Mus musculus: one gene and its partner. The protein of the gene in region 1 purifies or fractionates together with the protein of each later gene. This does not show direct contact. Links are inferred from orthologs where the notes say so. Each region holds a gene or a part of one and is shown on either strand. Other genes may lie near its edges.

Region 1 (5,636 bases):
TGACGCAGGAAGAACAGAGTTTAAGGACATCTCTAGCTACATAGTAGGATTGAGCCCAGCCAGAGCTGTAGGAGACCCTGTCTCAAAAATAACCAAGCAAAGTATGCAGCACAGTGCAGTTGTAGGAAACCATGTCTCCTTTACTCTTTGTCAAAGGAAAACACGCAACTCAAAATAAGTCTCCACACAGACACCTTTAATTTTGTTTTAGGTTCTGCTGTGTAATGCTTGAGTGGCCTCTGCAGTTGAAATGCTGACTGGCTGACCTGGAGGGCAGAGGCAGTCTTCTTGACTTTGCCTCCAAAGTACCAGAATTTTAAACGTGTACTACTGGCCCGGACTTCCCACCTCAACTTTGTTTTTTTTTTTTTTTTTTTTTTCTTTTTTCGAGACAGGGTTTCTCTGTGTAGCCCTGGCTGTCCTGGAACTCACTTTGTAGACCAGGCTGGCCTCGAACTCAGAAATCCGCCTGCCTCTGCCTCCCAAGTGCTGGAATTAAAGGCGTGCGCCACCACGCCCGGCTTCCACCTCAACTTTGTAATACATTTTTTAATTCTTCTTTTTCAGTTTGCATACTTGAAGCTTCCTGCTTCCTCCCCGGCCCAGCTCAAAGATGAAGTTCTCTATCACTAAGTCTACCTGTTTCCCTATCCCAGATGAGGGGGCTTCAAAACACTTAGAGTAAACCCTTGACTTTTAGGGATTTGCTGCTACAACTGTAATAATGAAATGACTGGAATTACCACTTTCTATCCGACTAAAGAAAGGAATCTGAAACTCTGCCCTACAGTGATCTGAGCATGAGAGCATTTATTGAAAAAAATTTTTCCCATCTGAGACCTCCAATTTACAGAAGAGCCAGAAGCCTCTATGGGCTTTCTTCCCTACTGACATCAACACCCAGCCTATTGAAAAAAAACTTAAAACTTTGGTTGAGGTGGGAGGTGGTGATAATGGTACAGACTTAATAAAAATGTGGTTTCCAGTTCCTGAAGAGGAAATACAGTACTGTTGAAATCGGTTCCTCATATGTCAGCTTCCTCCCTCCTTCTGTCTTAAGTGGTCCAGCCAGAACCATCCTGCTCCACCACCACCCCCCCATACACCCCGCAACTGAGCCACCTATGATGTCATAATCACAATCCCATTACCTCATCCTGCTGGGGGGGGGGCGGTAAGGAGGAAAGGGAAGGGAGGGAGTGAACAGCCTCGGGTCCGCCTCAGCTTTACAAAGTGTTTTGGGTGAGAACAAATTACAGAGCAAGGGGACACAGCTCCGCAACCGTTATAAATCTCAGGTTTATAAAAGCTCTAGCAGATCTGGCAGCTAGAAGAGGGGCTCCGGCTACTCAGAGCAGGCCTTGACCGGCGCTTGGACTACATTTCCCAGCAGCCTTCACGCCGAGGATCAGTCCTTGCCGGGGGAAGGTGGGGGGATGCTTGCAGAAAGGTGGCTGTGTCGGAAGGGAAAGGAGGCCAGGTGAGAAGACTGTGGCTAATATTGTTTCGTGGCCTGAGCTGAGTCAGATAGTTCAGTTGGGAGGATGGTTTAGTGGAAGGAGTGGACAATGGCTTTGTTTACCTTTATCCGACATGGCTTCCCCTACGGGCTTCGTGATATGCTTCCAACTGGGCCTGTCCACTTTCCACGTTATTTTGGAGGGGGTGATTAGTTAGTGAGGAGACACTCCGGTCCCCAAACCACAGCTCTAGGCTCCTTTCCGACGGCGCTATTCTGAAAAAGATTAAGGGAGACACCACGTAGGGCTTGGGCCTCTTCGGCAGGTTCCGGGGGATTCTGTGAATAGACGCGATCCCCCATACTCTCCTCAAAGACCGGTTGGTTCTTGCCAGCGCCTTTTAAGGGCACCGTGGGGCGAACGGAGCGCTCAGAGCTGCTCCGGCCGCGGCCCATGGAGCTGTAGGAGCCGCGGTAGGTAGCGGAGGGCAGGTGGTGCTGGGGCCTCGGGGCGGGCACCGCGACCGTCCCTCCCTCTCTCCCATCCCCCAGTCCAGCCGCTGGTGCGGCGGAGCCTCCTAGGCCGTCTCGGCGGGAGAACCCGGGACCCGGTGGGGGAGGGGGTGGCGGAGTGCATGTCCCAGACCCTCCCCATCCCCTGCGTCCTGAGTTCGCTTCCCGCGGTCAGATGGGGAACCAGAATGGAAAGAAGAGAGCGACAGTCTCTCTGAGCAAACCCTGGAGTGCCCCCCCGGGGGCCAGTAGATGCCTCATGCCCCACCCCGCGGGGACAGGCAGGGCAACAGAGGGAGAGGTTGAGGATTAGAGGGAGCCTAGTCGTTTGCTTTTTCGTCGCGGTGGGGGATGGGTGCACCCCACTTGTCACCCCTGTCTTCACGAGAGCCATATGGAAGAAGAGCATTCTAATATCCATTTACCTTTTTCTTGCATCTCCCTGCCTCGCTTATGTTTTCCTTCAGTTTCTCCCAGAGGTGTGGGACCGGGAGACCTGGGGGGAATGTCCCCAGGGGATTTGCGACTTTCTTTTCCCTTGGCCTGACTGGATCTTAGGTCGTCCAGGTTTCAACACAACCTAAGTATCCCAGAAACGCAAGTGTCAGGAGTTGCTTCCATCCAATAGGAGTGGGGGGGTCTAGTCGTCATCTTGGGGGGTTGTGGTGGAGGGAGATTCTGGGCAGAGAGTTAGGCCTGGTGGGGTTACTGGGAGGGCCGAGCGGCCTTCTTGCTCAGTGAAGGGCTGAGCCTTGTGCCAGTAACGTTCAGCTGAGAAGTTTTAACTTGTTTAGTGAAATGTTGAGAGCTGTCTACCCCTCAGATACACAAAATGGAAGGGAAGGAAGGCTGCCAGAGAGAGCTTCTCACACTTTGTAAATGTCTGCTTGAGAACGAGGAGGCCCCTTGCAGAGCTGGTTTACCTTCTTTTGTGTCCTGGTTTGATTCCTTATGGCTTCCGTTCTGTTGCCCCTCTCAGCCTGGCCTGTTTTAGGAAACTCAGGCTGAGAGTATCAGTTGCGTGGTGGTAGTTGCATTGTTCCAATTACCGCTGTGTGTGGCCACATCCCGACAATTAAAATGCAGAAAAAGAGAAATCACCCTCTTCAGCTGCTGCTAGAGAGGGCTGGGAGTTTGCTGTTTGCCTCACTGAAAAGCTTGCAAGTGTTTTTCACTCCCTGCTCCTCATGGCTGGTCAGCCTGGAGCCTGGGGTCTCTCTAGGGTAAGATTCTCCACTTAGGTTCCCTTCTTGTTCATCATTTTTGAGGACAGAGTTAGAATGGGAGCAGAAGTGATTCAAGCTTTAGCTTCTCCCACCAGAACCCAGGGGAAGCAGCTGAAGGGAGTTGGTTCTCAGGAAGCTGGAACTTTGTTCGGAACGGTAGGGATAATTACGCATGGAAACCATAGTTAGCTAGAGTGATGATTGACGGCTGCGCCGTCCTTCCAAAGAACTCCATCCACATCCACAGGACCTTTGCTCTTTGTCATGTGCCTCTGAAGTGACACCCTCGTTTTTGCAGTGGGTGGGCTTCTCCAAAACATCACAGGAGGAAGACCCCTTAGGCTTCAACTTAGTGAGCAAGTGACGGAGGTTGGCCTCCAGCCAGAGAAAGATGCATAGCTTTCTTCATCCTAATGATACCACCTCTTTAGGCACACCAAGGCTTGGAAGAACAGCAAAGGGAGAGAGAAGAAACAACAGTCTGTGTGAACTATTTTATATAGGCCAGTTGGTAAGCTATTTTGATATTTCATGTGGCCTCATTCCTGTGATAGAGTAAGATCGTTATACCCATTTTACATATGGGTAAGCAGGAATGTTATATGGCTAGCCAAACTTGCCTGAGTAAATTGGATTAAGGATTAGGTGATAGTGGCAGCTTTTTTTCCTCCCGGGCTGGCCTTCACGAACTGTTGAGCTTCTGTTTGCTTTCATCTCCCGAGGGCTGGGATTACAGGTGTCTGCCCAAGAGTTAGCTTTCTTGGCTGACTGTTCTCTGTGCCAGTTTAATGCTCCACATACTCTGGCCTTGCCTGTTGGTCACTGATGGGAAGAGGTAGAACAAAGGCATCACTAACCTCCCTTCCTTCTTCCTCAGAGCAAGGCCAAGGCCCCGTAGGTAGGCAGTTGTGTGGGGTTTAGAAGCTGCTCTCAGATAAAAGTCAGTTGGCTTCAGTCTTAAGGAAGAATCCATGGTCTTCAAGTGGGATCATGAAAATCAACACAACTTTGTTGGATGAAGTCATGAGTTGTTTTTAATATCCGTAGAGTTGAAATGTGATTGGAACTGACCATTCTTTCTCATTGGATAAGAGAATAACCAGCAGCATCTACTAGGAAAGAGTGATGTATCAGCTGTTCATTTAAAATCCTCTTTAATCTGACCTGAAACTGAAAGCCCAGCCCTTGCTCCTCTCTCTGTACTAAACCCCTGTGGTTTAGAAGGGTTTTTCTGTTTGTTTGTTTTTTGTTTTTGTTTTTGTTTTTTCTTGGCTTCTGGCTGTAAGATAAAGAGAATATTGTGTTCATCCAGTATGGAAATAACCATTTGGACAGCTCTCATTTGAGCTGTTTTCTAAGTGGTGCTGATATTCTAGGTAGACACAACAGAACTTAAGCCAGGTTAGAAACGGTAAGTGGGTTTCACTTTGCTTGCCAGCACCAGTTTATTTGACTGGGTATCTAGAGTGCCAAGTTCAGAGTGTTTCTGAGCCTGTCTTTAAGCTTACCAGGAAAGTGCTATGATCAATTAACGAAGTCTGCCCGAGGCCTGGCATAGGGACACTGCTGTGTGTGTGTACTGTGCCTTGTCCATCTCTAATGTTACTTGGGGCTGACCCCTCTAATTGGCAGGCACAGCAGGCATGACTGGAGAGGGAGGTCCCAATGGTGCTAGAACGGTGCTGCAGTGGCAGAAGGAGGCTCATGAGTGAGATCCAGGAGAACGACAAGGAAGACATCCACCAATCGCTCCAAAGTGTGCAAGCCAAGTCCTGGGCAGAAACATGATCACCCTGATCACGGAGCAGCTCCAGAAGCAGACCCTGGATGAGCTGAAATGCACGCGCTTCAGCGTCAGTCTGGTAAAGACCCGAATCTCTGCTTCTTCCTCATCTTCCCCTTTTTCTGGAGGCTGTTGCTACAATCTAACCTGTGTTCTGTGTCGTCTGAAACGTGCTTGTACCGGAAAAGCCCACTAACAGCTCAAAAGCCAGCCAAGAGAAAGGGGGCAGGGACGCTAAAACTTGGGTGAAAGGGGCTTTGTGACATTTGAGGTGTGGCTTGTTTCTCACCAACTTTGGGAAGACAATAGGAAGAGAACAACACAGGAGTCTAATATCCTGGTAGCTCATGAATTATAGGAAGAATGTAAGAGTTCTCTCTAGAAATGTCCTTGTCCTGAACCCAAATAATGATGGTCTCTCTCTTAGCCTTTGCCTGATCATGCAGACATACCCAACTGTGGGGACCCTTTCCAGCTTGTGTCTGGTAAGGAACCTGTGGTTTCTATGTACTATATGTTTGTTTGTGCTTCTGTCCACACATGTCTGTTGTTGGTTTTTAATGGCCAGACTGATTAGCTTAGCTCTAGCTTTTGTGATGGTCTTTTTGTTTTATTTTGTTTTGTTTTGTTTTGAGACAGGGTCTTACTATGTAGA
Region 2 (5,562 bases), on another chromosome or scaffold:
ACAGCTGAGCCAGGATCCTTGTCCTGCCCGTCCCCAGAAGCACCACTACAGGGAGCTCCCAGCTGAGGTGCGCCAGACACTAGGCCAACTTCCTGCTGGCTTCATTCAGTACTTCACACAGCGATTCCCCAGGCTGTTGCTGCACACTCACCGTGCCATGAGGACCTGCGCCTCTGAGAGCCTCTTCCTGCCCTACTACCCACCAGCTCTGGAAGCCAGGAGGCCAGATGCCACAAAGAGCTGAGACATCCAGAGGGTCCAAAGGAGGACCAAGGAGTTGAGCCTGTGGCTCAGTCTAGTCTCAGGCGTGACAGAAAAGATGGGCAGCGGTCTAAGGGACTCAGGCTGTTAATGCAAAAAAAAAAAAAAAAAACCAAAAACCTCTGGGGGCAGGGGACTCTTAAGAAATACAAGACCAAAAAGAGAAAGAGAGAGAGAGATGTACACATTTTAATATATATAAAGCTAAGGAAAGAGCAGTCCCAATTTAATAGAAACATTTATACAATTCATACAGTGGGCTGAGCGAGGGCAGGGAAGCAGATGTAAACCCACACCCAGACATGTACAAAATAACTTACACACAGCAACCCCTTCAAAGGGGGCCCTGCTCCTGCCCAGCCCCCAGGGCCAGGGGCACTGAACAGCAGCCCCCAGGAGCCTACAGTGCAGGCTCAGAGCTAGCAGAGTGAAGGGGCACCAGTCCGAAGGAGAGAGACCTAGGAGGCCTTGAGGCGGTTGCTGGCGGAGCGCGAGCTCAGCAGCTTGTCTACCATGGTGCGGGCGTAGCGGAGGCGGCTGGCCAGCTCCTTGCAGCAGCCATACTCCTCCAGGAGGCTCAGGCGGTACGTTTGGAAGTCCCTCTTCTCGTTGATGTAGGTCACCGCTGCCATCAGGGGGCACAGGATAAGTTTGGTGTGGTCCTAGGAGGGAGCGAGTGAAGAGCTCAACAGGTGCCCAGGGGGAGGGCAAAGGGGAGGAAGGCGCCCCGCTGGTGAGGGAGACAGCACTGCCACCCCCAGGCACAGCGTCCTGCCCCAGCACACCTGGAAGAAGTTAATCTGCACGGTGCCGTTGCTGAGGTGCAGGATGATGGCGCTGCGTGTGCGGAACCACGTTCGTAGGTAGGGCAGCCGGGCCAGCTCGTCGCCTTCCCGGGGTGTGATGTTGGCCCCTGCCTTCAGCAGGTGCTCACTCATGTAATTGCGGAAATAGTTGAGGAGAGTGATCTAGTTTGAAAAGTTGGGGGAGGGATTCCAGAATGAGGGCCTGGCCCCGAGGCAGCCCCCTACCCTGCCACGCTCCCCCTCGACAGCCAGGACTCACCTTCTTCATCAAGGAATTGGGATGGGAGCTCACAGTGAGATAGGACTCCGTGCCATCACGCTCTATGTACTGCAGGCTGTCCCCGTCATTGTAGAGAATCAGGCGTGTTGAGTCATTAAAAAGCACCCCCACACTGTTGTCACACAGCTGATACCCTGGTGGTAAGTGGAGGGTTATCTCAGAAAGGCAGGAGGAGACAGGCAAAGGCCTTGGAAGAACTCAGTAGAACTCAGTAGTACAATGCTTGCCTACCATGCAGAAGACCTGAATTTTAATTCTTCCCACGCCCCGCCCCCCAGCTACACCATCCCCTGCCCATTCCACATTCTGGGACACCTACCAAGGCCATACTTGTCCGAATAGTCCACCCACTTGCTGACCCAGAAGATGGGGATGCAGGCAGGATCCTCAGCCTCCTCTGGGGTAGAAACAGAACACTGGTTATGGTTAGGTCAGCCCCGTCGCCTTTCCTTTCAAGCAGCCCTCCCCATGGCACCCCATGAAACCTGAGGAGGAGCCTGACAGTACAAACCTGACACCCAAATGGAAAACTGTAGCCCAGGATGCCAAGGCCCACTTCATCACGAGTGAGCCCCTGTACTCTAGGCCTACTGTAGCCATGAGCTGTGGGAGGTGCGGACAGGGAAAGAGACCCACAGGCTTCAGAAGAGCCCGGGTTCCAACCACAGGGATGAAGAAGAAGCACAGGCTACAGGCCCCTCCATCATTCGCCCTGGGGGTGGTAGAAGGCCTAGTATCCCAGACTAAAGTGACGAGAGACAGTTGGCTGACAACCCCTGCCTGCGATGCTAGAACAGCTAGAAAACTGTACACAAGTCCCTGATGCAAAAACACAAATGTGCTGGGAAGAAATGCTATAGAGAATTAATTAAGTCAGGTTTAGAAGTGATGGCAGCGGGTGTCAGGGCAGGGACACTGGGTACAAAAGCCCTAAAGCTGGAGCTGATCTGAGTCTCTGGAGGAATTAATTCCCTGAGCAATATGTGCAGTGATGCAGAGATGGCCTACCAGCCACCTACAGGACAAGATGGTGCAGAAGTAGGCAGAAGAAACACCAAGGGGGGCCGTGGGTGTCAGGCTAACTCACCTGGATTTTGATCTATAAGAAACGGGCAAAGCAAAGGTCACGTGGGTCTGGGCCCTCACCAGTGCTCTGCTGACTGAGCAGCCCTGCCTTCCCCAGGCGCGCAGACCTCTCTGTAGCACTCACCTTGCCGCACCAGCCCGCGCTCCGAGGGCTTGGAGGCGTTGACACTGGTCAGCTGCTGTAGCAAGTCACTAAGGTGGCACTCAATGGCCTCATTTGTCTCCCGGACCACCGGTTCCTCTTTCTCCCGGGGACGGTCAGGCAGGGGGTTCTCCACACCTGAGAAGAAAACTCGGTCACTGGACAGACACAAAACTAGGGGAAGGAGCACAGGACTTTGGCGACAACTACAACTTTTTCACTATCAGCGATGTGGGGACACAGTCAGCACCAGTTTGAGTGGCAGGCATTGTTATACTGAGAGGTCTCTAACCCAACAGCCTAGCTTCCCAGGACAGCAGCTGCTGCTGTCACTCAGGGAGGCCATCGGAAGGCACCAATGACTCAAAACTGCACCAACTCAAGAGTGAAGGGCACTGTGAGCACCCAGGAAGTTGGAAAGACGGGTGGATTCCTTTAAATAAAGCCCCAGAAGCCTTTCACTGTAACCCTCTGCTTTTGTGCGCTTACAAACCGCCCAGGTCTGATGACATGCACACTAAAGCTTTGAGTTGGCTACGGTGGCCAGGGGGGAGCTTTACACTCGACTGGCTTGTTTCCCCAGACCAGCATGTGCTAGTTCTCCTGTGAGACAGCACAATTTTTTTTCTTAAAATTTCAATTAAAAAAAAATAAACCACCATGCTACATTAAGAACTTAAGTGTGAAATAAAATATTCAGGATCTGATTTTTGTTTGTTTGTTTTTTTGTTTTCCGAGACAGGATTTCTCTGTGTAGTCCTGGCTGTCCTGGAACTCACTTTGTAGACCAGGCTGGCCTCGAACTCAGAAATCTGCCTGCCTCTGCCTCCCAAGTGTTGGGATTAAAGGCGTGCGCCACCACCGCCTGGCTCAGGATCTGATTTTAAAACTAGCCAAAAAGGGGCTGGAGGACGGCTCAGCAGCTAAGAGCACTTGCTGGTCTTGCCAAAGACCTGGGTTTGGTTCCCAGAACCCACGTGGTGGCTCATAATCATGTCTAACTCCAGTTCCAGGGGATCCAAAAACATCTTCTGGCCTCTGTGGTTATCACACATGTACCTGGTGCACATACATACATACATGCATGACACCCATACACAGTTAAAAAATAAAACCTAGCAAAAATGAGTGTTTATAGACTAGAGTATGTAAAAAGCAAGCCTGTCTAAATTTAGCTATTGGAAATGAAGGAGAAATGAATGCCCCAGGGACAGATAATGCAGGTGGTTCCCTGCCTTTGGGTGAGTGTGGAGGCTGTCTACAGAACAGTTTCTTTACTATACTTATAAGACAGCGGCATTCTAACCTCCACCGCCGAGGAAGTTAGGAATCCCCAGGTCCAGCACTGCGGGGAAGGACAGGGAGCTACCCTCCGTACATACACGTCCAACATGACTTAGATTCCCCACTGCTCATGAACTAGGCATGGTAGCCCATCCCTGACTGTTAGCCTAGCACTCAGGATATAGAGGCAGAAGGAGCACAGGTTCAAAGTTGTCCTTGGCTACTGTGAGACCCAAGCAGTTCGGGCCACATGAGACATGGTCTCAAAAAGGGAAACAAAATTGAAATTACAGTAATAATTGCTACCACGAAGACTGGTGGTCCCTACAGTTTCAAACAACTTCCTGCAAGCTATTTATTAACTACCAAGGAAACAATGTCTGTGGGAGAGACACGGTCTCCCTGACACACTGAGAAGGGCAAAGCCCTCCACAGCATTCTTGCTCAGAATGCAGAACCTCACTGCACTCCCGAGGAAGCATCAAATCCAATAGGATATCAACTCATCAGCACCCTCTAAACGTGTCAAGGTCACAAGACATAAGGCAAACCCAGAGACTGCCACAGGCTGGAGGAAACTAAGGAGCCAAGGTCGCTAACTGCCATGTGAGGTGCTGACTTGCATTCTGGGGGTCTAATGGGGATCTATCTGGTTGATCGATTAGGGGGATTATCTTCTAGCTAACACTTCAGTTTTGGCAATTATGCTATGCTTTTAAGGGAGATGCTGACCGTGGAAGCAGCTGGGTGAAGGGTACACAGGAATTCAACTTTATTGTTTTAAAAAATTTTGTATAGCACTACAGTTATTCCAAAATAAACCAAGTCATTGAGTCAGGGGTGAAGTGAAGCACTCAGTCTGAAATCCCAGCACTTGGGAGGAACTCAGGGTTAACCTGGACAACACAAGACCCTGTCTCAAAGCACCAAAAACGAAACTAAGCCATCCCAAGCCACTTGCCTAAAAATGGAAATCTAACTGAAACAGATGAACTGAGAATTTTATACTGAATACTAGTTTTATACTAAATCCACACAGAGAACAAGCTATCCTCAAAGACACAGCTCTTAATGAAATATATTAAGGACAAATAAGACTTGATGATGGCCGGGTGTGCTGGCGCACGCCTTTAATCCCAGCACTTGGGAGGCAGAGGCAGGCGGATTTCTGAGTTTGAGGCCAGCCTGGTCTACAGAGTGAGTTCCAGGACAACCAGGGCTACACAGAGAAATCCTGTCTCGAAAAACCAAAAAAAAAAAAAAAAAAAGACTTGATGATGATGATGATAAATGCAGTGGCACAGTCCTGTAAGCCCAGCACTGTGGATGGTGAGGCAGGGGGATTTCAAACCTGAGTCTGTGTGGTGATAGTCTGTCTCAAAAGAAAGAGAGAGAGGGGGGGAGAGAGAGAGGAGAGAGGGGAAGGAGGGAGTGACAGTAGAAAACAGAAAAGCAGATACTGCTGCCAGGCAAGTGGCTCACACCTTTGCTCTCTCAAGCACTTGGGAGGCAGAGGCAGGTGGACTTCTGAGTTCAAGGCATCAACAGAGTGTGAGTGAACTGGGAGGACATTCACCCCTCTCTACCTTTTCATAAGTGTGGACAATGGTGAAGACATATTAACACATGAATCAGAGAAGCTCTGATCTCTAAAGAGCTCCAGAAACAAAAGTTATCTAAGCAGGGGCAAGGGATGGTAAAGT

What was found. The genes of interacting proteins can lie anywhere in the genome.
Region 2: the proteins of Fam53c (region 1) and Plk1 purify together in Homo sapiens (affinity purification with mass spectrometry; 3 studies listed by BioGRID and IntAct, counting the BioPlex papers as one, with this or other methods). This does not show direct contact. The link is inferred for Mus musculus from reciprocal best matches to the Homo sapiens genes FAM53C and PLK1.

The regions. Positions count from the first base shown.
Region 1 is NC_000084.6:34,757,665-34,763,300, forward strand, and holds the start of Fam53c (protein FAM53C), read left to right. Parts: upstream 1-1,662; 5' UTR 1,663-1,933; exon of another isoform or gene 1,934-3,313; intron 3,314-4,830; 5' UTR 4,831-4,982; coding exon 4,983-5,060; intron 5,061-5,408; coding exon 5,409-5,466; intron 5,467-5,636.
Region 2 is NC_000073.6:122,164,748-122,170,309, reverse strand, and holds the end of Plk1 (serine/threonine-protein kinase PLK1), read right to left. Parts: intron 2,714-5,562; coding exon 2,558-2,713; intron 1,745-2,557; coding exon 1,667-1,744; intron 1,482-1,666; coding exon 1,327-1,481; intron 1,230-1,326; coding exon 1,047-1,229; intron 924-1,046; coding exon 720-923; 3' UTR 426-719; downstream 1-425. Other genes in the region: Ern2 (serine/threonine-protein kinase/endoribonuclease IRE2), read left to right, coding at 14-244. UniProt on the Homo sapiens protein: Serine/threonine-protein kinase that performs several important functions throughout M phase of the cell cycle, including the regulation of centrosome maturation and spindle assembly, the removal of cohesins from chromosome arms, the inactivation of anaphase-promoting complex/cyclosome (APC/C) inhibitors, and the regulation of mitotic exit and cytokinesis.